4 linked regions of the Drosophila melanogaster genome follow. The protein of the gene in region 1 binds, or shares a complex with, the protein of each later gene. Each region holds a gene or a part of one and is shown in the gene's direction. Other genes may lie near its edges.

Region 1 (7,006 bases):
GAGAAAAGTGGAGTTCCTAGGCTTCGTCGTGTCCGACAAGGGCATTGAAACCAGCCCAACCAAGGTACAGGCAATCTCAGACTTTCCAATTCCAAGGACACTCAAAGAACTGAGATCATTCTTGGGATTATCCGGATATTACAGGCGATTTATTCCTAACTACGCTAAGTTAGCAAAACCACTTAGCTCGCTTTTGAGAGGGGAGGATGGTCGAATTTCCAGGACATTATCGTCAAAAAAATCCGTCTCCCTTAATCGCGAAGCAATAGAAGCCTTCAAGAAATTGAAGAGCAGCTTGGTTTCTCCAGACGTAATACTCCACTACCCGGACTTTAAGAAAGAATTTCACCTAACAACGGATGCTTCCAATTTCGCAGTAGGTGCTGTTCTTTCACAAGAGAACAGACCCATCTCATTTTTATCGAGAACACTCTCGAAGGCGGAAGAAAATTATGCCACGAATGAGAAGGAAATGTTAGCCATTATCTGGGCTCTAAAAAAGCTAAAAATTTACCTTTACGGTAAAGCAAAGGTGAAAATCTTTACTGACCATCAGCCTTTGACCCATTCTCTCAGTAGTTGGAATGGAAATGCGAGGATTAAGAGATGGAAAGCATACCTTGAGGAATATGACTACGAAATTTTCTACAAGCCAGGCAGAGAAAATACTGTAGCCGACGCTCTGTCCAGAGGACCGACAGTCGAACAAATTAACACAGTAGCCTCAACAATGCACAGCTCTGACAGTTCGAGCCATGGGCTGATACCTAGCGTTGAAGCCCCGATAAACGCATTCAAGAATCAAATTTTCTTCAGGGAGTCCGAGTCAGAGAACTACTCATTTAGCATTCCATTCCCGACATTTCAAAGGCATTTAGTAGATCGCAACTTGTTCACACCCGATAGTCTCTTGTCAGATTTGAAAGAATATCTTAACCCATCCGTGATTAATGGAATTTTCACATCCGAGGATGTAATGGGGAAAATTCAAATTCTCTACCCCATCCATTTTCAGGGTTTCAAGATTAGATTCTGCCAAAGCAAAGTCAAAGACCTTGTTAACGAAGCCGAACAAGAGGAAGAAATACTTAGGACACATAACAGAGCACACAGAAATGCTGTGGAAAATAAAGCTCAGTTGTCCGAAAGAGTATACTTTCCTAAAATGAGGAAAAAAGTTTCGGCTATCGTGAATCAGTGTTTGGTGTGTAAGACTGCTAAATATGACAGACATCCCACGCATCCAGAAATAAGACAAACTCCCTTGCCAGAATACCCCGGACAAATTATTCATATTGACATCTACTCGACAGAACGACATCTGGTGCTCACGGCGATTGATAAATTTTCCAAACTGGCCATGGGAAGAGTTATCAAATCCAAAGCTGTAGAAGACATTAGGAAAGCCCTAAGAGATATCGTGTTTTATTATGGAGTGCCTAAATTAATAGTAATGGACAATGAAAAGTCCCTCAACTCAGCCTCTATCAAATTCATGTTGACAGACCAGCTGGGTATTGAGCTCTACAAAGCACCTCCGTATAAGAGTACAGTAAATGGACAGATAGAAAGATTTCACTCCACACTCTCTGAAATAATGAGATGTTTGAAAGGAGATGGAACACATAGGGGCTTCGAGGAACTTCTCGATAGGGCCATCTATGAATATAACTACACTGTCCATTCTGTCACAAAAAAACGACCTCTAGAGGTGTTCTTCGGCAGGATAGCTACCGTAGCTCCAGAAAAATATGAACAAGCTAGACTGGACAATATAGACCGACTTAGGCAAAAACAGGAAACCGACATAGAATACCACAACCGGACAAGAAAGCCCATAAAAACCTATATCAAAGGGCAAGAAATTTTCGTTAGGGTTAATACAAGATTAGGTTCTAAGTTATCAAGTAGATTTAGGAAGGAACTAGTTAAGGAAGACCGAAGTACCACAATATTAACAGAATCAGGGAAATTAGTACATAAAAGTAACATAAGATCATGATTGCTTCAGAATAATTACTGTGGCCACATCGATAGACAAGTAGAACATAGAAACATTAAACATACTGATTAACGTAACCACGAGAATTAAATTTGAAACGATTCGACTTTGACAGACGAGTTGGCCATAGGTTTGCAGAATTAGATTGGGCTCGTGAAAGAAGAGATTGCGTTGTGAATGCGTTTCTGCGGAGCGAGTTTAAATTGAATGAGACCAGTAGCCTACTTGAAAACAATATACCGATTTCTGCCTTGACGGTCAAATAAATGTTAAAACTTTCACACGTTCTCGCTTTACACAACGGAACTACAATTTGAATGCCATTGAAATCTCCATATTGAATCAGTTAATTCCTTATTTCTTATATTTTAAAACATGATCAGTAAAGGAAACTAATAATAATAAATAAATAATAATTTAATTTGAATAATAATAAAATTTACCAATTAAAGACGAAATGTACGGAATCAATGCCTTCTGCAAAGGTTCCAATGGTCTAAAAATATGTAGATATAAATTCATTAGTAATTTAGTAAAAACCAGAATTTTAATAGAAGCAATCAAGTTGTCAATGCAGAACACATCCGAGTTGCACAAACCTCGAACGCACGCAACAATAAACACCTGGCATTCAAACCATTAATGCTGTGCCCAAACTACCACGAATCACCCCACCAACGATGCGACTCAAAAACATCCCATCCTTATGATGACCGCTCGAGGACAAGCGTCAATTAAGAGGGGAGGAGTTATTGCCCTGCAATTGATTCTCTAACATCTTGTGGTTCCACATAGTCTCCGCTGCCATCAACGCCAACGAACGGTTAAGCGCGACATCGACACTTCTGCGCTGCGCCGCGGCCGACGCCTGCTGCGCCGCTGCCGACGACTTCACTTGATTGCTAGGGACTTAGGGAAACATTTTGTACGCTAGATTTAGTTTCAAATGATAAATTGCAATAAACGGTCGCTTGCGATCTTCAAAATCAAATCGATAACTTATTAACTTATATGTAACGAAATTTCAAATGGTATATTCCAAAAAGTGCAAAGTGGTATTAGCGGTATATTTTTTGGACACACACGGCATATTTTTGTGACCGCGGCAGGGTAACACTCTTTTGTTGCTGATTAAAAATCCGCTTAACTCGTGGCGAAATTTGCATTTACGATTTCGCATACAAATCGCGTTGAAAATCAGAGTGAGTGCACCCCAAGCAAGCGCCCAGTGTAGCCCCACTCACTGCGCCCTCAATTCCTTTCAGATGCCGGGCGTTGAAACGATCAAATCCTCCTGGGCGGACGAGGTGGAGCTCGACTATGGTGGACTACCTCCGACGACGGAGACGGTGGAGAACGGACAGAAGTACGTGACGGAGTACAAGTACAACAAGGACGACAAGAAGACGAAGGTGGTGCGCACGTACAAGATATCCAAGCAGGTGGTGCCCAAGACGGTGGCCAAGCGACGCACCTGGACGAAGTTCGGCGACTCGAAGAACGACAAGCCCGGCCCCAACTCGCAGACGACCATGGTGTCCGAGGAGATCATCATGCAGTTCCTCAACTCCAAGGAGGACGAGAAGGCCAACGATCCGCTGCTAGATCCCACCAAGAATATTGCCAAGTGCCGTATCTGCAACGGTGAGCATTGGTCGGTCAACTGCCCGTACAAGGGCACGGCGATGGACACGAATATGATGGAGAAGAAGGCTTCGGCAGCCGCCGCGGCCGCCGTCGATGCGCCCAAGTCCGGCAAGTATGTGCCGCCGTTCCTCAAGGACAGCCAAAAGGGCGCGCTGGGAATGCGCGGACGCGACGACACGGCCGCCATTAGGATATCGAATCTGTCGGAGTCGATGACCGAGGCGGATCTCGAGGAGCTGGTGAAGAAGATTGGACCGCAGAGCAAGATGTATCTCGCCCGCGACAAGAACACCGGACTCTGCAAGGGATTCGCCTACGTGCACTTCAAGCAGCGCAAGGATGCGGCCGCCGCCATCGAGATCCTCAATGGACACGGCTACGACCACTTGATCCTCAGCGTCGAATGGTCGAAACCCCAGAACAATTAGTTAGTCCCGTTCCCACTACCCGCGTTTACTGCTCATAGGAGTCCGTTCGAGTCGATCACACAATTTGTCCCTATGCTATGCTAAGTTTGCTACAAATAAATCTTAAAACAGCCCCCATGGGCACCGAAAACCAGATGACTATGCTCTGCAAGGATACAATGGCATCTAGAATCGTATATTTTTCATATTTGATATAACTTAATCGCTCTTCTTTAGTTTTGCGGACCAACCAACACAAATGCTTTCGACTTTTGCTCTAATATAGCTTTCTCCCTCGTTTTAAAGGACGCAAGGCCACCAAATCGTAGACACTGGGAACAACATATAAAAGAAATATTTTTTATTTGTTACTTAAAAAACTTGAATATGATTTGTTAAGTGTATTTTTTAACGACATGCAGCTACCCACATATGGTTAACAAGTTAACCTTACGCGGTGCCCACTGTAGAAAGCATGATTCCAGCCGATCTGGCAACGCCATCGTTTGCATGCGAATAAACACCATGGTGTTGTTGTTTTTGTGTTTGCCAGCGATTTGCGTAAATTGTGTTTGTTTTTGTGGCCAAAAATAGAAATCAGATGCCGCAAAATATTCAAAAAGCATTCGAAACAATATTTTTGATCTTCAGGTGTGCGCTCATTTTCAGTCGTCAGTGAGACGGGCCCCCAGGCGAAAGTCTTTGTTGTTGCTCCGTTCGAGCGAAATGGCCACCGCCACCGTTGGTTCATCCAGATCCGCAACCACATCCGCAACCGCATCCGCATGCTCATCCAAATCCAAGAACCTAAAGAATCCGGCGCCGCAAATAAAAAGGGGACAGCGGATCCTCACGGAGAAACCATTCGCCTTCGTCTTGAAATCACAGTACCGCCTGGAGCGGTGCGATAACTGCCTGGAGGCGTAAGTTTCGCCATGTGGCTGCCTTTGTGAGCTATCTAATTTGGGTTCGTCGTTGCAGGACCAAGGTGCTGAAGTGCTCCAACTGCAGGTATGTGTCCTACTGCCACCGCTCATGCCAGATGCAAGCTTGGGGCCAGCACAAGCACGAGTGTCCTTTCCTCAAGAAGGTGCATCCTCGAGTTGTGCCCGATGCTGCCCGAATGCTCTGCCGACTGATCCTGCGCCTGGAGCACGGCGGAGACCTGATCCGCGGCTATTACACCGAGCACGGCTCCCGCAAGTTTCGCGATCTCATGTCCCGTGAGTAAACCAAAGGGCGAACCGCTTTGCATGGTCATTCCTAGCTAATCCACGTTAACGTGCACAGATTACGCCGAAATCAAGAACGATCCCATGCGACTGGAGCACTTGGACTCGCTGCATGCCGTCCTCACCGATATGATGGCCGAGAGTCCCAGCACGGTGCCAAACAAGACGGAACTGATGAGCATCTATGGTCGCGTAAGTGTGCAGGCACCTGTGCGAGCGAGCAGGAGCGGATTGGGCGATTCATCGCACTGGTACTGAATCGAGAAACCAAGACGCTTGCGTATGCAGCCGCTCCTGGTCGCCCAAATTAGATAGCAATCAATGATGTATGCCTGGCGCTCTGCCAGTCAATTGATTATCTAGGAAGGGCTTCGGTTCACATTCCCCGGCGCACAGTTACGCGGGAGCTCATGCTCTTTCTTCTCTGCTCTTTGCAGCTGATCACCAATGGCTTCAATATCTTGGACGCCGAGATGAACTCAATTGCCACGGCCATATATCTGGGCGTCTCGATTACGGACCATAGCTGCCAGCCAAATGCGGTCGCCACCTTCGAGGGCAACGAGCTGCACGTCCACGCGATCGAGGACATGGAATGCCTGGACTGGTCGAAAATCTTCATCAGCTACATCGACCTGCTCAATACGCCGGAGCAGAGGCGTCTGGACCTCAAGGAGCACTACTACTTCCTATGCGTGTGCAGCAAGTGCACGGATGCCAAGGAATCGAAGGAGATGCTGGCTGCCCTGTGTCCCAATCGCAACTGCGGTGCGGGAATCAGTGTGGACCGCAATAATTGCCCGCGATGCGATGCCGGCATCAGTCCCAAGTTGAGAAATGCCTTCAACGAGGCGATGACTCTGACCCGGCACAATCTGGAGAACATGAAGGACGTGGCCTGTGAGTAGATGCGACGAAATGGAATTAGCTCCATAATAAGCACATTTTCACTCTCTCGATCACAGATCTCGATGTGTGCAAGGTGTGTCTGGACAAGCAGACTGGCGTGTTCCATCCCCTGAATGTGTGGTACGTCAAGACGCTCGATGCGGCCTTCGAAGCAGCCATCGAAGTGGGCAAGTGGAGCGACGCCCTGGATTACGGGCAACGTTTGCTGCCAGGCTTTCGAAAATACCACGGACCCTGGAATCCGCTATTGGGCCTGCTTCACATGAAGCTGGGCAAGATTCAGCTCTACGAGGGCCATTCCAAGGAGGCACTGCACCATCTGGAGGAGGCCCAACGCATCCTAACCGTCACCCACGGCCGAGATCACAGACTGCTTACTGAGCAGCTATACATGCTCGTTCTACAAGCGCGACAAGAGGCGCACTAATGGGATTTAGTTGTTTTTATTCATTTAAATAAGTCTTAAGTTAAATATTGTGTTGCGTTGCGGGAAGAATGGAATGGATTTTTGTGGATAATTACTTTTCTATGTACAACAGAAACCATTCGGAGAATTAAAGATTATCAAATTCTATTACTTTTGGCATTTGTGGTAAACAATTCAAGGAATTAAAGTAAGGACACATTGATGGTGATCATCAAATTTAGACTCCGTTTACCACCTCAAATGTGATGTCTATCCGCCGTTCAACATTCCTCGCTCGCAAAAAAGGCGCACGCGCCCTATACAATCTGCGTAATGGCCTTGGCCCGCCAATCCGTATCCTGGAACAACGCCCTGATTAGGTGCTTTATCTCATCCGACTTGT
Region 2 (8,777 bases), on another chromosome or scaffold:
AAGAAATTGTTTACAATGGGTGCAGCAGTAGCTCCTCCTAGGCAAACAGCACACTGGCATTTTCTTAGCGGAGTGGGGGAAAACAACCCTTGCGAGGTCATTCGGAGTTCGTGGGCACTTTAAGCTGACTTTGAGTCTTGGGTGGAGTGGTACAAATCAACCTGATAAGCTCGAAAGGAAACCGAGGAAACACGCATGACAATCTTCTGGTAAATAACACAGGAACATATGTACATACATATATAGCCAGTTTGAACTACTTTTTGCTACATAATTGCCCAATGGTGATTAGAAAGAAAACGAAATACATAGAATTTGGCTAATGTTCTAAATGAAACAAATATGACGAGGTCTGAAAGGCCATTTCCGTCCATCTGGGGGAAACTCGAAGTGCGAATGATGCTATTTTCGAGGCAATAAGAACCGAAATAAATTATGGAAATCGACCAAAGTCTGGGAGGATATATGTCGGCTGTCTGCTTTCGACGCTTCAAGGCAAATTAATTGCGCGGCATTGTTTATTTTTAGTCATAAAAATGTTTGCATATCATCGATAGATTGTTTATTTTTCAAGATATGTGGAAATTTGTGGGGAAAAGCGCTTAAGTCTGTTGACATATGGAAGGATAATGATAAAATCACCTGTTTCACACAGCATCATCAATCAGCAGATGCTTCTTATTTGCCGCATGCGCATTTGAAAAGCCGGAAAAGAAGGCAAGCACAACTGGGGATGCAACCGGCAAAATTTTCGAATTGCTCCCCCGGGAAGCTTCATAAAAGTCCGGAAATCAAGAATCTAAAACCCCAATGCCTTTGCTCAAAACGAACGAGTAAAAACGGGCGTTGTTAAGCGGCATTTTTGTTTTGCCACCGCTATTCGTAAGCAACCGTTTGATCGCTCTCCCGTTCTCACCAAAACTCTCGCGATCGCTAAGAGCGAGTTAAAAAGCGAACAACGGGCCAAAGGAAAATGGAAGAGCGAGTCTTCAGCTTTGGGGAACACGCCCAAAAAGTTGGCTTACAAACAATCGACGTTTTATGTCACATATTGCTGGGAAAATCGAGCCGAAAGGATCTGAATTCCTGGGTTAGTCAATGGGTATCACTGGTTTTTACCTGCTTGCACCGATTTAATGCCATTATTGACCAGCAATAGGAGGCATAACAATCCAAACTGAAGCGAGGAAAATGCTGCTTTCGTATTGCTCCTGGGCGGCCTCATCTTGGAGGCTGTTAATTAAACACTATCGCTTGGTAGATTTATAAACACATCTATATTCGATTTCCGAAGAAGTTTAACACCAAAATGCACTTTTCCGCTGGAAAAACCACCGTGAAAAGCTGATGATTTGTGGCAACGCGTCCGCGGTGTTAAAAACGTTGGACTGCACTTTACGCTCCGCTTTAAATCGATTTTGAATTTATGTAATTTATCCACTGGGTGTACGGCTCCAGCAGATCACGCCCACTTCGGAAGAGTTTCGTTTGAATTAAGAAAATAATTATCGCAACGCGGATGACACACGAACAGAATGTCTCGCTGCCAGTGTGACCGTGACTCAAACGTGGCAAGATACCGAGGGAGTCACCAACTGGGTGCTTGTCGCGTGAGCTAAGCTATCGTGTGATTAAGTATATGAAGTATTTACAAATTATTTCAACTGCTACTATGAAATTAAATTTGGTCACTAATAATAGCTTTCCGTTAACATTTATATTAATTCGTGATAGAAATTTTTTTGCATAGTTTTAAAGCCATGTAATATCATTGCAAAATGAATGATATAAGCAAAGTATACAAATGTAATGGCAAATAAGTCAAATCCCCTCTAAAATATTTTTTAAAAATCTAGTTTTCTTATCTATCCAGAAATTTGAAATAAAATACATATTTTACAAAAAATTATTTCGAATACCAAATCGATAGGGGCGTAAAACATCGATAGTCGTAGTAGTATCATTATCGATAGTTGGTCACACTGTTTATCCCTCTTTTCGCCAAAAATTTGTTGGCGTGTTGTCAATTTCCTAAGCATTTGATCGGTTTTTTCGTTTTGTGTGTAACCCGGAGAGGATAAAACAGCGACAATGTACGGTGGAGACGAATACGCAACCAACTCGGTGAGTGCAGCCAGCGAGGAATGATTCATTCTCGGGAAACCAATCCCCGGACTCCGCCGACAACATAACCCATCTTTTGTTGCCCTCGCACAAATACAAAACTCACTGGGATGATTTTAAAGCCGTTTTACGACTTGGCATAGTTGGTGTTTAGATCATCATAGGTCATTAAGCACTGATAATCCGTGGGCCACTCCTTTGACACGTTCCTTTGCTATTTGGAAACGAATCCTGTAGTCCGGGGGACACCCCGGCGCCATGTGGTATATTATTGGTATCGGTGTACATTATTAATAAGTCATAATACCTTCTACATTTTTGATTTGCGTGCAATTTTAGATGGTGTGTACACACCTTTAAAGAACACATGAATATATTCTAGCTTACTCCTTAGAGATGCCGTGGAAAGAAGTACCCCTCTAAGGTTCATCCACTTCGTAATCGTAGGAATGCGCTCGTTTTGTTAGCTACAGCTCGCTTAGCTAAATGGTCGGGATTAAACTCGGAACAGTTGTAGCATAGTCTCTCGAATTCCTATTTACAAAGTCGAAAGTCTTCAATAGTCTAGGCAAGCTGTTAATTTATAAAATCGATCCACTTTAAGCGATTAACTCTATTTAATAGCTCATTTATGCAGAGAGTCGTAGATCAGTATTTCCTGCAATTCTGCTTCCAAAAAGTCATTGGGTTTTTTACATATTACAGGATTACTACGATGACTACGCTCATACCGGAGACCCGCAACTGGACATGGAGTACGAGAGGAACTACTACGCCGCCCGGATGCCGGACAACGTCAAGTACTTCCTCATAAACTTCTGCCAGGCGATCAAAGAGGGCAACTTGTACGACATCCAAAACATGTACGAGAACACGTTCCCGCAGATCAGCGACCACCACTTCGACAAGACTGCTTGGCCCGAGGAGCAGGAGGTGGCTGCTATTGTAGACAACGACAAGGTCTTCCTGATCTTATACAAGGAGTTGTACTATCGCCACATCCACGCCCGCATCCCCGGTGGTCCCAAGTTGGAGCAGAGGATCAACTCGTTCTTCAACTACTGCGACTTCTTCAACCTGATCATCTCGGCCCAGAACCCAGTGATGCTGGAGCTGCCCGACATCTGGCTGTGGGAGTTGGTGGATGAGTTCGTGTATCAGTTCCAGAACTTCGCGCAGTATCGGTATGTAGCTGTTTCCGCAGCCTGTGGAACTCGATTAACCTTCCATTTTTGCAGCGCCCGCCTTACGGAGAAATCGCAGGATGAGATCCAGCAGCTGTGCGTGAACCACAGCAACGAGTGGAGCATTCTCTGCATCCTCAACGTTCTGCATTCCCTTGTGGACATCTCGAACATCAAGAAGCAGCTGGAGGCCATCTCTCAAGGTGTTGATCCCCAAACCGTGGCCGGTGACTTCGGCAAACTGTCCTTCTACAAGATGCTGGGATACTTCTCCCTTGTCGGACTGCTGCGCGTTCATTCGCTGCTGGGTGACTACTACCAGGCCATCAAGGTGCTGGAGCCCATTGAGATCCACAAGAAGTCCGCCTATTCGCACATCCCCGCCTGCCAAATCTCGACGTCGTACTACGTGGGCTTCGCCTACATGATGATGCGCCGCTACGCTGATGCCATCCGCACCTTTTCTGATATCCTCCTGTACATTCAGCGTACCAAGCAGCTGTACAGCACGCGTTCATACCAAAACGATCAAATCAACAAGCAGGCCGAGCAGATGTACCATCTTTTGGCCATCTGCCTGGTACTCCATCCCCAGTGCATCGACGAGTCCATCCAGCAGGTGCTCAGGGAAAAGAACTACCACGACGCCATGTTTAAGATGCAGTGCGGTGATCTGGAGGTCTTCAAGTCCTTCTTTGTCTTCGCCTGCCCACGTTTCGTGAGCCCCTGCCCGCCAGCTGTAGACGCACCCATGGACGACTACGTCAAGGACCCCATGGAACACCAGTTGCAGGTTTTCATGGATGAGGTGCGCCAACAGAAGGATCTGCCCACAACGCGCTCGTATCTAAAGCTGTACACCACCCTGCCGCTGACCAAACTGGCATCTTTCATCGATCCCAACGCCAGCGAGGATGACGTGTCGAAGCTGCTGATTCGCCTGCTTTGCTTCAAGCACAAAATGCGCAACCTAGTGTGGAGCAAGGGACCCAGCGGCCTGGAAGGCACATTCAAGTCTGGCTCCGAGGTGAGATTAATATAGACAAATTCTGATGGCAAATATAATAATATACATTAATATTCTAGTTGGACTTCTACATCGACGACGACATGATCCACATAGCCGACACCAAGGTTTCACATCGGTATGGCGACTTCTTTGTGCGTAAAATTCTTAAGTTCAACGATCTGAATCGCAAATTGAAGAACATCAACATTTAAGCCGACTCCTTGTGACCCTTAATGATAAATTTAATATTCCATACTGGACCGATTTGTTTCGATATCAATAAAAATCGCTTGCGATCTTGCGCAAGTTTGGTCCTCAAAATGTGTCTTGAGTATTTAAATAATTTAAAATAATTATCTAATTTTTAATAAGAATCCAAGTTGTTTTAACACTTGCTTTATTTTTAACAATACCGTTATTTTATAAAAATTGTTTGTATGACTATAAGGAAATTCAAGACTACACAGTACGATTTTTGAGTTCGCCACAACTCCACTTGTGCTCGGCATGTGCCTTCAGCAACGCAACCAAGATTCGTTTTCGGTTATGGGGGAATGTGCGTTGAATTAATACGTAGTATATAATAATAACATCTCATATCAAATTTCTCTCCTGTTCGTCGCATAGCGAACACGAGCAAATTTCTTTGGTAAATCAATCGTATTAAGCGCTTGTTGGGGGTAAATAATTGTGATTTTCGGGGGGGTTGGACAGTTGGCGTGGAGTTGGGGCTACAAGCAGTTCCACACACATACACACAGTTTAAAATTCAACTTAGGATTACAGTACACTTTATACACGACATTGCCTTCTGTTCTCTAGTTTCTGTTGCGTTTTTGTGTGCTCTCTCTTTAGCTAACCATTGGTTCACTTAGGACTAACATTAAAATCAAACAATTTACAATTACGGACTTGTTGGTGGCCGGGCCAGTTGTTAGTCCACGGACACTGTGCGCTGATTGACGTCGATCAAGTAGATGTCCTTGTGATTCTGCAGCACAAAGTCGACGAAAGCATTGATGGGAGCGATCTCCTCCAGGGAGGTACTGGTGCTGCGCGACCACAGGAAATTCGGACCGAACACGATGGCCAGGTTGGAGGAGGTCATCTTGTTCAGATCCTCGCAGTCCATCACCCTGACCAGGAACTCAACAATGTACTTGAACAGTTCATAGTTCTCCTCTGGCAGTTTTTCGCGTATCAGTTGCGTCACGTTCCTCGAACGCTCTTCCTTGGGCCAGTCTAGAAAACCGGTCACATCCTCGTACAGCTCGAAGGTGAGCAGCGGCTCGGCGAGATCGCGCAGGAAACTCTTCAGCAGGCCGGCTATCACGTGGACATTAACGCTCTTCAGATCCACATCCTCGCCGCGGTTGACGCGCTCCTTGAGCGCCATGATCTCCGAGTGATTGCCCGATCGACGGAATATGCCCTCCGTATCGATCACGCCCGTTATGGACAGCGAGTCCACGCACTTGCGCACAATTGGCGGAATGGAGTTTAAGCACGGACTGTTCATCACAATGAATTTCAGGGGCACACCAAATTGATGCGTCGTCGCCATTTTGTGCTGCTGCTGCCGGGATGCATTTATATTGCTGCTGGGCGGCGGTGTCGATGGCTTCCGGCTGGGGTTCAGTTTGTCGTCCAGGTCGCAGATGTTGTCCGGCAACTTCAGCTTGTTCAGGCCGAGCGCCTGGCGCAACTCGTCCAAGCTGGAGATGTAGACTAGCTTCTTGCGGAACTTGTCGCTAATGAACGGGCTAAAGAAGTTCCAAATGACCCGTATGAACCACGTCGGATGAACCACATACAACGTCTTCAGATTCTTGCGGAAGTTGCGATCGAGCTCCTTGTACGAATTCCACAGGAACTGTGCGGATGGTTTGTTGTCCTCCTTGAGGCCTTGATGGAAGTAAACCAAAATGTAGTCGTTCTCCACAAAAGGTTCGATCTCCTTGATGATTTCCCTGATAGACAAATGGAAATAGATTAATGATTGAACAAAAAATGTACTCGAATATGAATCCTACCGCACAAATCCTTCCAGTTGGGATTTTTCGGGAAAGCGGGATGCATAAATGCCAAAGATGTGGCGACCCTGCTTATCGGTTCCCAGGAAATCGCATTTGTTTCTGGGAGTCTGAAAGTTTTCAGACTGCTCCCTGAGTTGGTCCTCGAAGTCGTCCTCCAGCGGATTTACATCTTCCTCGGGCTCAAGTTCTGGATCTAGGCGTAATGCGAAACGTTATTCATTGGCCAGGAGAAGTAGATTCCGCCACTTACCTTCGGCCAGAACGAAATCACCGACCATAACATCTTCTGGGAAAAATCGAAGAATTAGTTTGACTATGATTTTGTAGATTCTTTAAATATTCAATTTACTTTCAAGCGGAGATGGGGCCAGCAGCTCGGTATCATCAAACTCTAGCTTCGGCTCGAAGTCGTGCAGATCGGAGAGACTGGGTTGGGGCTCATCCGAGTTATCGACGATCGGATTGATGGCGGGACCTTGGGGTGCGAGAGGAAGGCATTTATAAATCTCGTAGGTTTCCCTGGCGCGGACTTGTATTCCAAAAACGTAATCTTACAAGTAATGCTTTCAGTTAAGTATTTTGACGGCCTGAGGCAACAAGTTTAGTTCGGATTGAGTTTGAGTAAGTGAATAGACATGAATCAGAGAAATTTCATTTGTTAAGTACATTGGCATCTGATTGTATAATCAACAGTCTTACGGTTTCGATATAATTGGCAGACGATTACTGAACAGAACAGAACAGAGACGATTAGGAAACTCTAAGCTAGGGCGATTAGACTATAGACTATGAAGTAAGGCTATAAGGGCTAGGGCAAACACATACGATCACAAAACACATCGGGTAACCAAACATTGGCAACAACACAGCTAGCGAAAAGTAGTTAACAAATAGGATCCACAACAAACCAAGCAAACAAACCACATTGGATAGTTTTAAAATGCAAGTTATGTATGTACAGGAGGAGACGGTAAGCTGCCCACATAGGCTGGATAATGCAGTTTGAAATGGGGTTAGTAGCGCAACTTGATACCAAAAACAAAGAACTTGGTTAGGGGGCGGCGGTTGGGGGTTAGTCAAGGCGGGGCGGGGCGGGGCACAAAATTAGTCGTAATTACTGGCTTTAACTGTTAGTTCTCAAACGAGGGCACTTCCCCCCTCAAAGAAACTACGATACGGCAATGAAAACAACGAAATAAAGCAGCGCAAAGAAATGACTCCCAAAACTTGAAACACAGATTGGAGGTGAGGTATTGTAGAAAACCTGGCCTCATATTTTTAGGCCCGTTTTTATAATCTTCATGGTGGGCTCAAAGTTAAAAGAGAATGATGGGAAAATGGGTTTCCATATGGTGTACCCACAATTAGTTACTTTATATTTAGGCAATCAAACAGATAATTCTTTTACAATTACGTCTTTCATTAGATTAGGTAGTTAGTATTAACGAAGTTCTTTATTTTGGGAACTATTTCTGAACGCTCAAATAAGGCAAATCACTGGACAATGGCAATGCTAAGCAGTTACAGAACCAAAGATCAAAACTAGATATATATTCGAATCGAAAAGCATGACTTGGCCGTTCGGCCGGCGGACTTACCTGGTAATCTCGGCGCGAAACGCGAATGGGCGTCCATGGCGGTGGAGATGGGAGTGGATGCGGATTCAGGTGCTATCCGTTCGATGTGATTGGATTACTCGCGGTGACGCAGGACGTGGCTCAGTCAGTCGTTGGGCTCGATTATTGGCATGTAGAATGTATGCGGCTGAAATGTGAGAATAAATTAGCCAAAAGCAGCAGTTGCCAGTACTCTATCGATGACGTCATTAGCAAGCTATGTAGTTTTCTTGGCTGTTTGGGTTGCTTGTTCGATGGTTATTTCTTGGTATTGGATATAGTACAGGTTGTATGGCACGGCTGATTCACATTCATTTACATCAATGATTTTGCTCGAAGTCTTAGTGCTAAGTTGGCCCTGAAAGACGCCCACCGCCTCCATTTCTAATGTTCAAACATGCATACATACAGTGGGGACATTTAAAGTGGCCATGACTGCGGTCTCAAGACAAGTGAATTGTTTTTCGAAGAGATAACACAAAAACACAGAGGCTGCTTATCGCAATTTCGACAAAAAGCTTCACAAAAGCACATAGAAAGGCACAATTTTAAGTGAAACGTAGTTTGCTTCCTTCGTTTCTGCCAAAAATGGTTATATATTGTCGCGATAATTTCTTGTGATAACTTGAGTATATAAAAGAACGGAAGTTCTTTTTTTTTGAGCGTCCTAACTAGGGAGGGTGCACTGTACATACAGCTTGTATGACTTTATTTTAAATACGTGATTGGATTGTAAATGGGAAATAAATTAATAATTTTCAAGCGTAAACTGAGATTAGTACACATCCTTTTTGACACCACTGTTTCA
Region 3 (8,256 bases), on another chromosome or scaffold:
ACTAGTAGTAGTTTCTGTTGTTGTTGTCGTTCTTGTTGTTCTTGTTGCTTTTGTTCGCTGGGTAAGTACTTACTTATGTGCCAGGGCATTATTCTTGGCTGTGTTCCTTTCACCAAGCCGCTACCGCTTTTTCCTACAAGACCGGCAGTGGCAGAAGAAAAGCTTCAGCGGCAGGAGCGATTGCAGATGAGCTGGAGATGAGAGGGTAAATCCGGAGGTTGGAAAGCGGAAGGCGGATGGGGATGGAGAAACCGCAGCGGTGACGTGGCAATGCAGCTGCATAATGTGGCATGCGGTTTGCATTAAAAATGATATTGCAACACGAGCCGCACATCTGCAGCTGTGTGCAGTTAGGCGCCGCCTGCAGTCACTGACAGCCGCATGGCAATTATAATCCACACACACATACACTCACTCAGACGCACACTCATCCACGGCTTATGGCTACACTGAAATCAATTCAATGGTAAAATAGGAATTATTTCAGTCAAAATAAGTTCCCATTGTTATTGCTCCACAGAACCCATTATTATATTCTTGGTATGCATTCTTGGTCTTCTATTCTTACATTTGACATTATCTCTTCATATTCTCGCAGTGTATCAACAGAGAAGTGCGAGGGAATCTGGAGCCGGGCCATGTAAGCAGCAGCTGCCAGTGACATACACATCAACATGACACCCTGTCGCTTGACAAAGCTTAGCTCAGGATCTGGGTGCTGGAAGAGGGGCGGAGGCACCGCACTCCCACTGTCATCCCGCTCGCACCCATATCATTTTCCACACATTCAGGCACATTCACACGCTCGACATGTTGCTTTTTGGGTATGAGCCGGAGTGCAGGATGTCCGCTTCCTTTTTCGCCGCCTCACACGTTGTTATCTAACAAGCTTTTTATGTGATTACCTTTTGCCTTCTGTTAGTTTTACTATAATTTGGCCTTTACGCTTAACGAGATTGTTGTAAGGTGCTCCCAGCCAAGAATAAGGAAACCGAACCGGAACACAGTGAGGACTGAGCCAAGTTGACCAGATCCAGCACACAGGACACTCGTCCCATTGTAGTGCACTCCGCTGTTGTTCCTTTGCTTTCCTGATACTTGGGTCAGAACAATGGTGCTGGAGTTGGAGTCATATGAATGGAGTCATGTCGATGTGAGCTTAGATGCGTCGTCAAGTGATAATCCCGTCACAGTACCCCGCTTCCTGTACCATTTCCACAGCTCAACAAACATTTATTTGTGCGCTTAGTGAGGGTTTTTTATAAAAGATAATAAGAAACAAGAATTTGTCGGCTGGAAGGGGATCCCCGCGCCCATCCTGGATCAGCTCACCATGCGGAGGATGAGAATAATCGTGGCCAATGAGAGCAGCACGACGTTGACGGAGAACCGAAAGACGAACAGGCAATTACACATTTCTTCATTGTGGTTGCGGTGGTGTTTAATTGGGGGCAGGGCGTCCTCCTAAGATTCATTCTCCAAACGTCTTACTTCTCACTTTGTGTAGTTTATAGGGTTTCGGTGTGACTAGAAATACAAATAAGACTGAGCTTTTATTGTGAGGAATTGGTATCTTTTGATTTCTCACAATAGGCTTCAATCTACTTACTATAGGCTTTTGAAGAAATCTTTTTAGTTGTCTATCAAAAATTATTTAAAGATTGGATATTCGGTTATTTCCTTAATGGATAAAACCGCCTTTTTCATATTATAACATTATCCAAACGTAGGGCTTGGAAAATTTTCCCAAGCTGTCAAGCCGGCCATACGAAATCAGCTCAGTGTAATTTGTACCTCGACAAAACCGGATCACATAAATGTAAATACTTGCTCTTGGTTATTTAAACATCTTTCGGCGTGATTATGTCCAACTACGCACCCTTTATCAAGCCCTATGTGGAGTACAACGAGCACGGCTGGGGTCCTTGCGAGGTACCCGAATTGGATGTGCCCTACCAGCCGTTCTGCAAAAGTGATCGCCTGGGCAAGATCTGCGACTGGACTGCGATGGTGCCCGAGAAGAAGTTCCCCAGTAAATACGCCTCGACCTTTGGCAACAACAGTCAGTACGCATACTTCTACGAGGACGATGACTCCACCTTCCATTTGGTGGACACCACTGGATCGAAGGCCACCAAGCCCTATCAGCGGGGACGCTATAGACCCAATATGCGCAACAATGTGAGGAGCAGGGGTCGCACGGGGCGTGGCACTCCGAATATAGCAAGTCTCGGGGGATCCACGGCTGGAGGCGCAACTGCCAGTACCACCAAGTACGGAAAGGGTCGCAATACACGCAACACGCAGAATATGGGTCGCAGATTCGGTCGCAATGCTCCCACCAGAATCCGCGAGAGCTCAGTGATGGTGCAATCGGATTGGGTTTCGATCGAGGAGATTGATTTTCCACGCCTTCTCAAGCTGGCACTTCCCAATATTAAAGATGGTAAGGACATTGCCACCTGCGGATGGCTGGAATTTTATGATAAGTTATACGATCGAGTCAACTTACGCAATGAAAAACCATTGCAAAAGATGGATCGTGTTGTGCACACCGTGACGACCACGGATGATCCGGTTATTCGTCGTCTTTCGAGGACCATGGGCAATGTCTTTGCCACCGACGAAATCTTGTCCACCATAATGTGCTGCACACGCTCCAATTACTCTTGGGATGTGGTAGTCGAGAAATTGGGCACTAAGGTGTTCTTAGATAAGAGATATAATGATCAATTTGATTTGCTGACTGTCAACGAGACTTCAGTAGAACCTCCGATGGATGAGGAGGGTTCCATCAATTCGGCACATAGCTTGGCAATGGAGGCCACTCTAATTAATCACAACTTTAGCCAGCAGGTAGGTTTACAGTAGGTTTCAATTTATGTTATTTGTTATTGTACGTTTTTAAATCTTATGTTATTTATTTTTAAAAGGTTCTTCGCATTGGCGACCAAGAGCCACGTTTCATGTTTGAGGAGCCCAATCCGTTCGAGGAGCCAGGCGTGGATCTTGCCTCCATTGGCTATCGCTACCGTCAGTGGGATCTGGGCAACGATGTGGTGCTGATTGCTCGCTGCAAGCACAATGGGGTTATCCAAGGACCCAATGGGGACGTGCAGTTCCTCTCGATCAAGGCGCTGAATGAATGGGACTCCAAGGTGACCAACAGTGTGGAGTGGCGCCAGAAGTTGGACACCCAGCGCGGTGCAGTCTTGGCCTCCGAGTTGCGCAACAATGCTTGTAAGCTAGCTCGATGGACCGTTGAGGCTGTGCTGGCTGGTTCCGATCAACTGAAGTTAGGCTATGTGTCCAGGATGAATCCGCGTGATCACCTGCGTCACGTGATCCTTGGCACACAGCAATTCAAGCCGCAGGAGTTCGCCACCCAAATCAACCTGAACATGGACAATGCCTGGGGAGTATTGCGTTGCCTAATTGACCTTGTGATGAGGCAACCGGATGGAAAGTATCTGATCATGAAGGATCCCAACAAGCCGATGATCCGTCTGTATGACGTTCCGGAAAACGCCTTCGACTCCGACGGCGATGAGGAGGAGGAGTCCAGCGATCCCTTGAGTAACTCCAACGATAACTAACGCCCTCACGAATTTATTCAACTAATAGTTCTCCGAACAAGGGGATCCGTCGACGGACGAGACAAGCCGACACATGCTGACAGATGCGCAGTGAACACAAATGCAATTTAAATTGAGTTTTTGACCAAACACAACATATGAACGGAGCCATCACTTGACATGTCAGTGAACAACGGACCGGGTGACCGGGTGCAGTCACAGTTATTTTGAGGATAACATGGCCACATCAATCACTGCGGTTCCAAGAAATACAAAATGAAACCCGGCTAAATAAATATGCATTGTGCAGAACATCCCCCGCCATTACCGACTGACAATCACAATAATTGCGGGGGAGTGGAACTGGGGCTGAAATGGGTGAAGGGCTGTTTGGGTGACAAACCTCAGGATCAATAAATCACCGAACACGGCATCAATCAATGCAAATTCTGATGCTGCTGTGGTGCTTGGCGTGCGACAATTTAAGCAAAATGTTTTCGTATTCAACAGCATTTAATTAAATTCATATATGTGCTCGAATTTCATATGCATCCTGCCTTTTTTGTTATTTGGCAATTCAATTTGGGCAGTCAGTGAGCACAAAAGTGCAGAAATTATTCCCCAACGGAAATGCAAATCGCTCAACTAAATTACCAAAATGTTTTGCGCATTTTTGTTTTTGTTTCTCCGTCCGCCAATTTCTTTTTGTTCAGCGCCAAATTGAATTTAGACCTATTCAATTTGCATGGATAGGCTTGCACTCCCTTTCTTCCCCAGACAGGATGAGCAAATGATGATGCCTGGGTGTGAAATAAGTGTGTGAAAATATTTAGGGAATTTACGCAAATGAAAATTGAAACCGATTAATTTTAATTCCCTGCCTGCGGCAAATTTGATTGATAAAGTCGGTCCATTATGTGGCAGTGCACAGATTCACAATGCAGCACATACATATGTATATGTGTGCACATCAAGTATACGCACAGTTGGCCGGAAAGGCACTTGATCTTGCCAGTAAGCAGCAGTGAAACACCAAAGTGTTATTCAATTAAAACATTTTGTTTGCTAAATCAACATGTGTGCCTGTGTGTGTGCCTGCAGGACCAACTTACGAAATGACTATTGCGGACTGGTTTTTTAAAGCGTTTGCCGCAGAAAAGTTGGCTCCGGCTGGTTAGCTGCTCGAGTGGCTTCAGCTACCATGTACCACCAACTACGGAGTACAGACTACCGACTACCAGCTGGCAACTACCGGCTTTAGCTACCAGCTTTAGCCTTAGCTGTAGCTGCAGTTGTAGCTTCGGCTTCTGGCCAGGACTGGCGTGGCATTTCAAGGTCTGCGCTTGGCTAACCACGCCGTTGAAAGGCGTTTAACAAACTGGCAGGCCGGGTTGGCCAGGGCACTTGCCAGCGGCAACAACTCCTAGCCCAACTCAAGTGGGGCCTTAACGCAAAACTTTGTACATTTTATCGCATATGCAGGGCTGCGGGCCATTCCGGGGTAACGGAGAACACAGACCGGAGAGCCCAGAACACAGGGTGTGGGTTAGTGGGCTGAGGTATGGGTTTAGATGGCCAAGGCATTTGCATATGCAACCACAAACACCGCCCGAGTGAAAAGTTAAGCGTTGAATGAGGGCGACAAATTGCAAATTAAACTCTTTTGCATTTTCCCAGCATCACATCACATGAGGAATAGTTGTAAATAAAACTGCCACACCCGCGTCAACTTTTTCAGCTCCTGCGACCTCCAACTAAATTCAATTTCATTTCAATTTGCCTCACTCGCTTTTTTCGCTGAAATGGGGTTATGGTAGCTGGAGCCTCGGAAGCCGTCTGAGCCGCATTAGGAAACCAAATGCGACTTTAAGTTGCCACCAAAGCATTTGGCCCCAGGCCCTCTAGCCGTTTAAGCAACGGATTTGCCATCTTTGGACTTTGGTTGGGTTCACCAGGATCAGGGGGCTCCGGGTGCCAGGGGTCACGCATTTCGGGGGGCGGACTGAAGAGTTTAGGAATGTTTGTAAGCCAAAAGTTTTGTGTTCTTTTGGCCAGCTCGGATTTCGCCTCCGCCTTTTGGCATATTTAATTTGCCGACTTGTGCCAGTTTTTCTTTTCTTGTCTTTCCTTCTCGAAAGATCCTGTCAATTTTGTGACATTTGCTTTGGGCTCCATTCACCGTTAACTTTTCAAATGCAGCTCATTTAAATATCATTTGTCTGGGTAAAAGTTTGCCACGAGAAGTCAGTTAATCGAGGATGAAGCCCACGGCTATTAATATAGGTATGGATTGAAGTGAAAAGGGAGACCCAAAGCAATCAAATATATCGTAAAATCAAAATATTACTTATATATCAAATCGGAGATTCTTTAATATTCCCTTCTTTTTACAGGACGAACCTGATAGCCCTGCTACTCTTTTCCAGATGAAAATTCGTAAAACTTTCTCACTCAAGTTACCCCAATATAATATATTTAAATTACCCCTTCTGCATTTTAGACGGTCGACTAGACACAGACGAGAGCACACTGTTGTTAGCCACAGAATAAGAAATGTTATCAATGCCGCCAACACCTCTGCAAAAAACAAAAGCAAAAGCACCGAATACAAATTTCAGCGTCACCCAACAAATCTGCAACAATAGTGATAATTTTTTCCACTTCTTCAGCTCGTTTCGCAACGCAAAACTTTGTGCAAACATTTTGCCAAACTTATTCTTTTTTTGCCGCGTTTTGAGCTAAAACTTTTTTGTTGGCGAGAGCGAGAATAATGGCTAAAATTATGTAGATGCAATGAGGGGTAGTAACTGGAGCACGGGAATATTCACATAATTCGATGAAATGAATTGGTTGCAGTTGCAATCCCAGCTGCGAGTTAACTGACAATCCGCCCAATGATTGCATATAAAAAGTTCTCAGATGCCGCAAAATTATCGCCGCAGCCGGTCCAGGCCGGAAATCATTTTCCTCTTCCGGCCAGGCAAGGTTCAGTTGCCGATTCTCATCTCAGCTCAAAGAAAAAACGAATATTTTCCACGTCTCACTCGGAGCCTTAGCTCCTGACCGACTGCGCCTGTGGAGCAACTTCTGTTTTACACATTTCTAATTCGTTTCCTGCCTGCAAACGAATGGCTGGCAAAAGTCTGTCTGCTGAAAGTCTGCCTGGATAGGGTCACAAATCTGGACTGAAATTCATTGAATACTTGTCAAAAATATCCCAGTAGCCAACGTAATTGGATTCTTTGTTGGCGCTGTCACCCAAGTTGGGCACATGTGCACTTTTGCACTCCTGAATATATTTCGGCAGATTACAAATTCGAATGACTCGCATATATGCATCTTACCTTGTATTCTGATTTAATAGTGGCTTATGAATCACTGAATAATTTAAAGATGTGTTCATGTCTCCCAGAACCAGGGCCTTGTTTTCATTCTCTTGCAGAAGGGATATACTTACAGTTTTTGTGTTCAGAAAGACATTCTGTAGGGATTGAAGAAGGGACTTCGGCTATAATATAACCCTTGTTCTAAAGGCCCTTTATAAAGCCCTTTTTTACAGTGGATTTTTCACTATGCAAATCACTGAAAAGATCAAAAACGATGTGCGATCATTCACCTGATTATTCCAGGCAGGTCTCACTTAAATGGTAACTTCGAGAGGAAACTGTGATGTGGTTTAACTTTCGCCCCGGAAAGTGGGGCCAAAAGTAAATCAACAAGTTGGATAAACTTGACTGTCAGACACCGATGGAATATTTTAAGCACGACGAGCTCTTAACTGCTTTAAGTTTTCAACATAAATATCAAGTATACGCACCGGATACCCACATACCCACACGCACGCACACGGCATAAGAATAAGGTGAATGCGAAACCCAAATCCAGCTGCCGAGGGAAAAAAACATAAGAATGAAAGCAAACGAAACAGACAACAAAGTTGGTTTACTTTTGGGTTCGTTTCAGTTCTTTTGTACGTTTCGCCACAAGCATGAAAATCGATTACCTGTTTCAAATGGAAAATATTCTTATATATATACATTTATCTTTGAGTGGGTAAGCTGATTGTCTAACTCCCCCGCTGTTCCGTTGGCCAACTGGCCCGCAGCTCGTCAGACTTTGCATAAACGAATTGTAAACACAGCAAGTGGTAGGTGGGTGGAATTGAAATTATGCCAAATGCGTTTTCCAGTTTCTAATTTCGGCATCGATCCTCGATTGCGAACGAAGGAGTCGTCCGGCTCTCGGACACCAGCACACATCGAGTGGCAATTTGCAATGAATTTGCTCAATTGCACCAGCTTGTGATTCTGCTCGTTGTTCTGGTCTGGTCCTGCTGATGGTGCAACAAGAGGAGCTCCTTGTGTCCATTTGCTTGCCTGCTTTGTTTTTTATTTTATTTGCAACAAATTGGGTTTTATCATCTGCCCAATGTCGATGTTGAGGGACAGCTGATGCAGCGCCGATGACAACCATGTCCTTCTGTGCGAGCTACCCAAGATTCGCACAAAATTAAATTCCGTTTCGACCCTCCAGTAAACTGGCATTGTTGGATGGGCATCATCGAATTTTTCATCACCCATCCCAATGCCGATGTCCAAACAAAAAACAAAAAGGGAAACTGGGAGGATGAGGTCCTGGGCCCTCTTTCTTGGCCCTTGGCTCAGTTGCACATACTCAATCA
Region 4 (7,436 bases), on another chromosome or scaffold:
AGATACCAGTTGGTCGTCCAGCTGCTTCTTCAAGACAATTAGCACATCGCGCGCTTTATAATGGGAGCGGAATGGATCCGTGGGCGGATCATTGCGGCTCTCCTCCTCCACCAGACGGTTGGCCTTCTCGTATAGCTCCTTGAAGTCGCTTAGGATCTCCTTTGGAATGACCATGTTGGCTGAGCACCCACGGTGCAGGCAAAAGCTATCCTGAATTCGGCAAAGCCTTTTTATTTACTATATTTTTTCTCTATGAGTGTGTAGTGTGGCCGTATTGTGACTGCTTAAACTTTACCTGAGACCCAAACCATGAAAGAATATTTTATTTAAAATCTCAAACTAAATTAATTTGAACTATGTACAAGTAAGGTATTTTCAAAAAGTACATAACACAACCATAAACGCCTCTAATATAAACTTGAAGGCATAAAATGTTTATATAAACAAAACAGCTTAGTGTGACCGTTGCGCAGCAACCTCTATGTCGCAACCCTGGAATTAATTGCTGGTATTATAACGTATTCGATTACAGTCACACCGCATCGACTTTCAGATTTTTTTCGCGTCGCAAATTTTTGGAATATACCAAAATATTTACCACCATCAGCTATTAAAGACTGCTTTTGGCGCTCATCTTTCAAAGAATACTTTTCCACAAATCAGACAAGCTTCATCCGAAAGCGGGCACAATGCTGAAGGGTTACAAGACGGATGAGGACAAGAAGGTGAAGCGACTGTACCACCAACGCTATCGCACAGAGTGGGAGAAATATCCGGAGCTCTCCAGCTGGCTGGCGTCTAGTAATGACGGTTACTCGGCGCACTGCAAGATCTGCGACATCAATGTCCTCGCCAGACTAGCGTCCATCAAGCAGCACCTCGCAACGCGGAAACACCAGGAAAGTTTCAAGTACCACAACATTCTTGCCAAGGTGGGATTGGGTTTGTGCATAAGCAATAGGAATGACCCGTGTCCATTATTGATTCAAATATTTTGCGATCCAAACTAAATTTCAAACACGATTTTTGTGTGAGTTTTCGCCATACTTTTCGTTAACTATTCCATTGACTACTTCTTGTGCAATGGTTAACCAAACCAGTAGCTCCCTCTATGCGATGCACAACTTATCGCTCCAAAAAAAAAATTCTCATCTCATTACTAATTTACATAAAATTAACAACTCCGTATTTATACCTACAGAATATGATTAAGGGTGAACTTGTCAAAGATGAGCATGACCCAGACTTGGAGGCCTCCATAATTTCACCCAAAGCAAAGCCCAAAGCCAAATCAAAGACCTATCCAAGGCAAAAGCCAAGGAGCAAAATGCAGCCAAAGATCAAGAACGACACGAAGGTGGAGAGCATGGAGGAGGAGACGGAGGAGGACGAAATCGCCTCGAACGACTCAATCCTGGATGATTTACTCAGAACAGATCAGCCCTATCAAGAGCAAGAATTTGAGGTTGAGAACGAGTTCCTCGAAGTACAACAGAATGAAACAGATCTCCAGGACCAAGAGGTGGTCTACGAGGAAGAGATGATACAGCTCAAGCCGGAAGATACGGAGATTAATAACGAATACCAAGTCGACGCGATGACGGAAGACACCATTATTAGTGAATTTGACTTGTTTGGCAAGAGTTTGGCTCTGCAGCTGAACAACATGGACCTGGAGGACGCACTAATGTGCCAGGAGCGTCTGCAGGTGGTCCTAACGGAATTTCGCCTGAAGGTGCTCAAGCGCAAGAGAGAGCAAGCACGATCTTCGTAGGCTTACAATTTATATCAAGCTGTCTTATGTACATAATATAATTTCTTTAACAACTAAATAAATAACTATTCTGCCTCAATTTCGTCAATTAGCGCCCGGCACTTTCTCTTCAATACCTTGACCGCCTCCAGGAAGATGACATCGGGCTTCAGTGCGCCGACTGATTCCACGGAGAAAATGTAGTGATCTCGGATACGGGCCAAAGTCACAGCGTCGTTTAGCTGGGGATAGCGATACACATTTCGGCTGCACGTGTCGTAGCGTGCATCCTTTACATAGGCAGTTTCATTCTCGTCAATGCCAATTACTCCTGGTGAGAAACAGTTCTGTAATAGGTACGCATCCTTACCGGTCACCTCGCGGTTCAGCTTAATCATGGGCAGCAGTCGGTAGGTGGCCGTGGCCACCGGCGAGAATTTCGCGTGATCCCGTCCAAGTCCCTTAACCGCCACCAGGCGCAGATCCAACTCGTGACCCGGACGCAATTGGGCAATCAGTATGTCATCGTGAATGCAGTTCACAGCACTCTCGCTGTATATCTGCGCCTGCTTTCCTTTGGGCAGCCACTTCAGATGACCCGAGTACACTTTGTGGTTTTTGTAAATGTCATCGAAGTTGGACTGATCTTTTCCAGCATCCCGTCGCCGCGAGCACTTCACCTTCAGCTCAAATTCAAGCGTATCCTGCTCGGTCCCCGCCTCAGTGCTTTCCTCGGTGCGGTATGCGAATAGACGGGGATCAGCCCGCAACGGAAGTAGACCCATTCGATGGGCAAGTACCTCGTCCTGGATGATCGAGGTGTTGTTGTATATGTACACCTTTTCGATGGCCATGCTGGGCACATCGCTGAGCATCAGGCGACGGAAGGCATTTGCAATGGCGGGATACACGCCAATCAGATCGAACTCCAGGCCGTCTTCGTCGTTTCTAGAAGTGAACACCAATTGTTAATCGACTCGTAAGATTCTAATTTCTATTGAGATTTACCTGACGATTTTGATGTGCAGCTTTTCCTTGAAAGCCTGAACGGAAAATACATCGTCCGCCAGTCCATAGTCCTGCGGATCCTGCTTCACCCGATACTCCTCCATGTACAGAAGCGGCTCCTTGCGATTTTTGCTTGCCATTTGCCCCGGTGTTTTTATTAAATAATTTAACAAAATTGAACCGCACGTGTTGGAATCAATAAGACCGCCTTCTAATACCAAAATATACCAAACTAACTAACAAACTAACTAATATACTAAATAAATATACTTTATGTACTAAATAAATGCTGTTTCGCCGTGACTGGCTGAATAGGAAGAAGCAGCAGGACACCGGCGATATTTTTATTTCTCCAGAAGATTTACGTAAAGCCTTCAAATTTCTGAAACCGGGCGTAAGATGTCCCGCTCCCTGCAACGCTTAGTGGGCAGCTGTCGTCGCTGGGCACAACAGCCCGCAATTCGTCATTATGCCGCTCCCGCAGATTCCACTAAAGGCAAGGGTCCGATCTCTTGGAGAAGTCTGGCCGTCATTGGAGCCCTTGGAGCCGGAGGAGTGGGCTTCATGCTGTACGTGAAGAGCGAGAAGGATGAGGCGAGAATGAAGGAGCGTCAGCGGCAATTGGGAAAAGCAGCCATCGGCGGCAGTTGGGAATTAGTTGATTCGCAGGGAGCTGTTCGCAAATCGGAGGACTTCTTAGGCAAGTGGCTGCTCATCTATTTTGGCTTCACCCACTGCCCGGATATTTGTCCCGATGAGCTAGAGAAGATGGCCGCCGTCGTCGATGAAGTTGGTAAGTAGAGCCTGACTATTTCTTCCAAACCCAAAAAAAACCATGTTTCTCAAACCTTCACAGAAAAGTCCCCGCAAACGCCAGCAGTGCAGCCCATCTTTATCACCGTTGACCCAGAACGTGACTCCAAAGAGGTGGTGGCCAAATACGTAAAAGAGTTCTCCCCCAAACTGCTGGGACTCACGGGAACCGTCGAACAAATCCGCAAAGTGTGCAAGGCCTTCAGGGTTTATTTCAGCGCTGGACCGCGGGACGAGGACAACGATTATATTGTGGATCACACCATCATCATGTACCTGGTCAATCCCGATGGCGAGTTTGTCGATTACTACGGCCAAAATCGGGACAAGGACCAGTGTGTGGCATCCATTTTGGTGAACATAGCCAAGTGGAATTCAATGAACAAAAAGGGATGGTTCAGCTAGGCTGGCTAAGCTAGGCAAATGTTGTTTCGTTGTATTTACTTAATGTATGGCATAAAATATGGTTTTTACTTGATGTATATCAAGTTTTAAATCCAAATTTTCGTTTATATTGGCTATACCTTAAGTTCTAGATTGTAAAAATTTCTGGTTGTTCAAAATAAACTTGATTAACGGTATTTTTTAGATCCCCCTGGTATATCGAAGTGAGATTTTGACTAGGCCACGGTCACACTGCTCTTTTGGCGTGTAGTGCTGCGTGGATGTTGTTGCAAAAATATTCGTTTTCTCGCAACAAATAACAATATAATACAAAATGGTGCGTGCCTGGTCAATGACTACACAGTTTGCATTATTCCGGATGGGTTTCTTTAGAATTTACCCGAAATTACAACTATTTGCAAAGTGTGAAAGTCGTGTGAAATTCCGGACCAAACATAACCTTAAAAGCGGCCTAAATTGTTGCTAAAAATTCGTATTATTCTGTCTTTTATAGCGTCCGTTGATGCTTCAGGGCCACGAGCGTTCCATAACGCAAATCAAGTACAACCGCGAGGGCGACCTGCTCTTCTCCTGCTCCAAGGATCAGAAGCCCAATGTGTGGTACTCGCTGAACGGAGAACGTTTGGGCACCTACGATGGTCACCAGGGTGCGGTCTGGTGCCTGGATGTGGACTGGGAGAGCCGTAAGCTCATCACCGGCGCCGGTGATATGACCGCTAAGATCTGGGACGTCGAGTACGGCACCGTTATCGCCTCCATTCCGACCAAGTCATCGGTGCGCACCAGCAACTTCAGCTTCTCGGGCAACCAGGCAGCCTACTCAACGGACAAAGCGATGGGACAGAGCTGTGAACTGTTCCTCATCGATGTCCGCAACGCCGATTCCTCGTTGTCGGAGCAGGAGCCCACACTCCGCATCCCGATGACCGAGTCCAAAATTACGTCGATGTTGTGGGGTCCTCTGGATGAGACCATCATCACAGGTTGGTGTTTACCCGATAATCTATTATGAAAACCGTTTAAAACCCGTATTTCCAGGTCACGATAATGGCAACATTGCCATCTGGGACATCCGTAAGGGTCAAAAGGTGGTTGACTCTGGCACGGATCACAGCGCTGGCATCAACGACATGCAGTTGAGCAAGGATGGCACCATGTTTGTGACCGCCTCCAAGGACACCACCGCCAAATTGTTCGATTCGGAGTCCCTGATGTGCCTCAAGACCTACAAAACGGAGCGTCCAGTAAACTCGGCGGCCATCAGCCCAATCATGGATCATGTCGTGCTGGGCGGCGGTCAAGATGCCATGGAGGTGACCACTACGTCTACGAAGGCTGGCAAGTTTGACTCGCGCTTCTTCCACCTGATATACGAGGAGGAGTTCGCCCGACTCAAGGGCCATTTCGGACCCATCAACAGTTTGGCCTTCCATCCGGACGGCAAGAGTTACGCCTCGGGCGGAGAAGATGGTTTCGTGCGTGTCCAGACATTCGATAGTACATACTTTGAGAACATCTTCGAGTAGTTTGTATCCAGTAGTGATTTAGTAGGATCAGAGCCGGTGGACTTAACATAACCATTTCACCGGCGACATGTTCGTTTGCTTAGGGAACTTTCAAATATACGCGAGGACGAAACGAAACGGATCGCGTCGTTTATTTTTATAACATCAAAGGAGTGGAAAGAGGTACAACATGATTATATTCGAGTAAATGGTGTGCCATGTGTAACCTAAAAAAAGGAACGCTTTTTTTGCTTGAGAACCACAGGCTGACCCTGCATGGCCGCCCACTGAGCCGGTGTGGGCAGGCAGCCCGGCGGAGGAGGCGGAATGACGACATTTCCGTTGGAATTTGTCCTCACCTCGGCCCGTGAGTCCAAGTGGAGGACCTGTGCTGCAGCTGCTCCTGCCGACGTACTGGGACCAGCAAGTCCGAAGCCACTGCCATGTGTCATACCGTAGTTGGGCTGCCCGCTGAAGGGCATCTGCTGTTGCTGGTGGCTGATCATGCCGTAATACTGATTCTGGCTGGGCGGAGCACCTCCTCCTTGTGGATAGCCATAGGCACCAGCACCGGTGCCGCCGTTTCGCTGGCTTTCTTCATACGTTGGCGGAGGAGCTCGCTAGAAGTCGCAAAACTTTAGATGGCGACTGGTATTTGATAATCAAATTAACTTATTACCATGGCCATGTCATCGCCGGAATGGCGATAGTCGTAAGCGGGAGCACTTCCCTCGCTTGGTGGACCTGCTTTTGATGGCTTCGACATCTTATCTCGTCTGTAATTTGAAGTTGCACTTTGTTTACTTGCAGTTTCTCTGAGTCACAAACAGGGTTGTCAGCTCATCGAGATTAGTGATGTCGTAAAGTTTTCCCGTCAGATCTGGATTTATTCGAAATTTATTTTCTGCACGCGAATTGCTATTTTATTTCTTTGGCGTTTTAAAATAAATAAAAAATGGGAATAATATGTCCCTCACAATTTATTAGTAAATTTTTGAGTTGTGCTATTAGGACGCCAGTTATTGAAACACACGCTTTTACAAATAATTCAAAATCAGATTTAAAGATGTTCTATGGTAAAATATACATGTTTGGGTCACCTTTTTCGAAATTCAAAGTGAAGTCTACAAAAAAATATGTATTGAGTTACTTTTTGTAAATCGATGTTGTCAAGTTCCAAAAATAATTAATTTTTGAATTTCTACCAAAGTATTTGATATGGATGTCTAGAAAGGAAGCCCACTGCTGGTTCCTGGCTTTTTCGTGGCGATCCTCACCGACATGGGCGACTCGCAACTGGGCTGCTTATATTGCCGCCTTTTTATCAGGTCTCTTTGAATGGAGCTTCCCAGGCTGCGAATGGGCACCGCTGTAATCCCATCGATCAGATTCTCCCGGGCGTGCTGGAGCGTGCTATCGATCAGCTGCTCCACGGCTATGGCTCGAGGATCCACCATCGGTTCACGCTCCAGCACGTCCACAATCATGCGCAGGGTCTCGTCCGCCTGGAACTCCTCCAGCGGCAGCACCTCAATCAGCTCTTTGAACATGTGAGCGACGATGAAGTGGGTGCGGTTCACAACCTCGGAGTCGCCCATATGGACATGAGCGCACAGCGAGTCCTTGGCGTGATCGAAAATTCCGGATATCAGCTCCTCGGTGTTCACATCAGAGCGTTCGTAGTCGAACACAGCCACCACCTCGTTGAATAGCTTGCGAAGCTCCTCGTTGCTGATGTGGATGAAGTACTTCTTCGGCACAAACGTCTGCAGATGCTCCGTTATGCACTCGGCTATGCGATCCGTGTACCGACCCTAAAATATAACCTTTGGTAAGATTGAGTAAACTAATTGCTTTTAGATCTAATCACCTGGAAACTGTAGGCGGCCTGGCACAAATAAAGCGAGGAGCGCTGGGCAAACTTGCGCACATTCTCCGGAGTGGTGCTCTTC

Evidence for each region.
Region 2: eIF3g1 (region 1) and eIF3l share a complex: the UniProt entries of both Drosophila melanogaster proteins name them as parts of the eukaryotic translation initiation factor 3 (eIF-3) complex.
Region 3: eIF3g1 (region 1) and eIF3d2 share a complex: the UniProt entries of both Drosophila melanogaster proteins name them as parts of the eukaryotic translation initiation factor 3 (eIF-3) complex.
Region 4: eIF3g1 (region 1) and eIF3i share a complex: the UniProt entries of both Drosophila melanogaster proteins name them as parts of the eukaryotic translation initiation factor 3 (eIF-3) complex.

Annotation. Positions count from the first base shown.
Region 1 is NC_004354.4:2,606,444-2,613,449, reverse strand, and holds eIF3g1 (eukaryotic translation initiation factor 3 subunit g1), read left to right. Parts: upstream 1-3,113; 5' UTR 3,114-3,204; intron 3,205-3,267; coding exon 3,268-4,077; 3' UTR 4,078-4,203; downstream 4,204-7,006. Other genes in the region: Smyd3 (SET and MYND domain containing, class 3), read left to right, coding at 4,783-4,979, 5,038-5,279, 5,347-5,480, 5,726-6,188, 6,254-6,624; Zw10 (Zeste-white 10), read right to left, coding at 6,921-7,006. UniProt on the Drosophila melanogaster protein: RNA-binding component of the eukaryotic translation initiation factor 3 (eIF-3) complex, which is involved in protein synthesis of a specialized repertoire of mRNAs and, together with other initiation factors, stimulates binding of mRNA and methionyl-tRNAi to the 40S ribosome.
Region 2 is NT_037436.4:12,139,303-12,148,079, reverse strand, and holds eIF3l (eukaryotic translation initiation factor 3 subunit l), read left to right. Parts: upstream 1-1,982; 5' UTR 1,983-2,091; coding exon 2,092-2,124; intron 2,125-2,829; coding exon 2,830-3,308; intron 3,309-3,362; coding exon 3,363-4,335; intron 4,336-4,394; coding exon 4,395-4,529; 3' UTR 4,530-4,634; downstream 4,635-8,777. Other genes in the region: Nrx-IV (neurexin IV), read right to left, coding at 1,120-1,225; RhoGAP68F (Rho GTPase activating protein at 68F), read right to left, coding at 5,252-6,287, 6,351-6,546, 6,604-6,639, 6,703-6,828, 7,053-7,079, 7,952-7,988. UniProt on the Drosophila melanogaster protein: Component of the eukaryotic translation initiation factor 3 (eIF-3) complex, which is involved in protein synthesis of a specialized repertoire of mRNAs and, together with other initiation factors, stimulates binding of mRNA and methionyl-tRNAi to the 40S ribosome.
Region 3 is NT_033777.3:12,188,560-12,196,815, reverse strand, and holds eIF3d2 (eukaryotic translation initiation factor 3 subunit d2), read left to right. Parts: upstream 1-1,804; 5' UTR 1,805-1,863; coding exon 1,864-2,856; intron 2,857-2,933; coding exon 2,934-3,596; 3' UTR 3,597-4,113; downstream 4,114-8,256. Other genes in the region: CG43450 (uncharacterized protein), read right to left, coding at 1,329-1,475. UniProt on the Drosophila melanogaster protein: mRNA cap-binding component of the eukaryotic translation initiation factor 3 (eIF-3) complex, which is involved in protein synthesis of a specialized repertoire of mRNAs and, together with other initiation factors, stimulates binding of mRNA and methionyl-tRNAi to the 40S ribosome.
Region 4 is NT_033779.5:4,964,550-4,971,985, reverse strand, and holds eIF3i (eukaryotic translation initiation factor 3 subunit i), read left to right. Parts: upstream 1-4,210; 5' UTR 4,211-4,292; coding exon 4,293-4,295; intron 4,296-4,472; coding exon 4,473-4,962; intron 4,963-5,017; coding exon 5,018-5,505; 3' UTR 5,506-5,619; downstream 5,620-7,436. Other genes in the region: CG14043 (uncharacterized protein), read right to left, coding at 1-174; l(2)05714 (lethal (2) 05714), read left to right, coding at 690-932, 1,202-1,774; Polr1C (RNA polymerase I and III subunit C), read right to left, coding at 1,840-2,701, 2,762-2,901; Scox (synthesis of cytochrome c oxidase), read left to right, coding at 3,161-3,554, 3,618-3,979; CG34125 (uncharacterized protein), read right to left, coding at 5,712-6,104, 6,164-6,250; CG34124 (uncharacterized protein), read right to left, coding at 6,711-7,298, 7,355-7,436. UniProt on the Drosophila melanogaster protein: Component of the eukaryotic translation initiation factor 3 (eIF-3) complex, which is involved in protein synthesis of a specialized repertoire of mRNAs and, together with other initiation factors, stimulates binding of mRNA and methionyl-tRNAi to the 40S ribosome.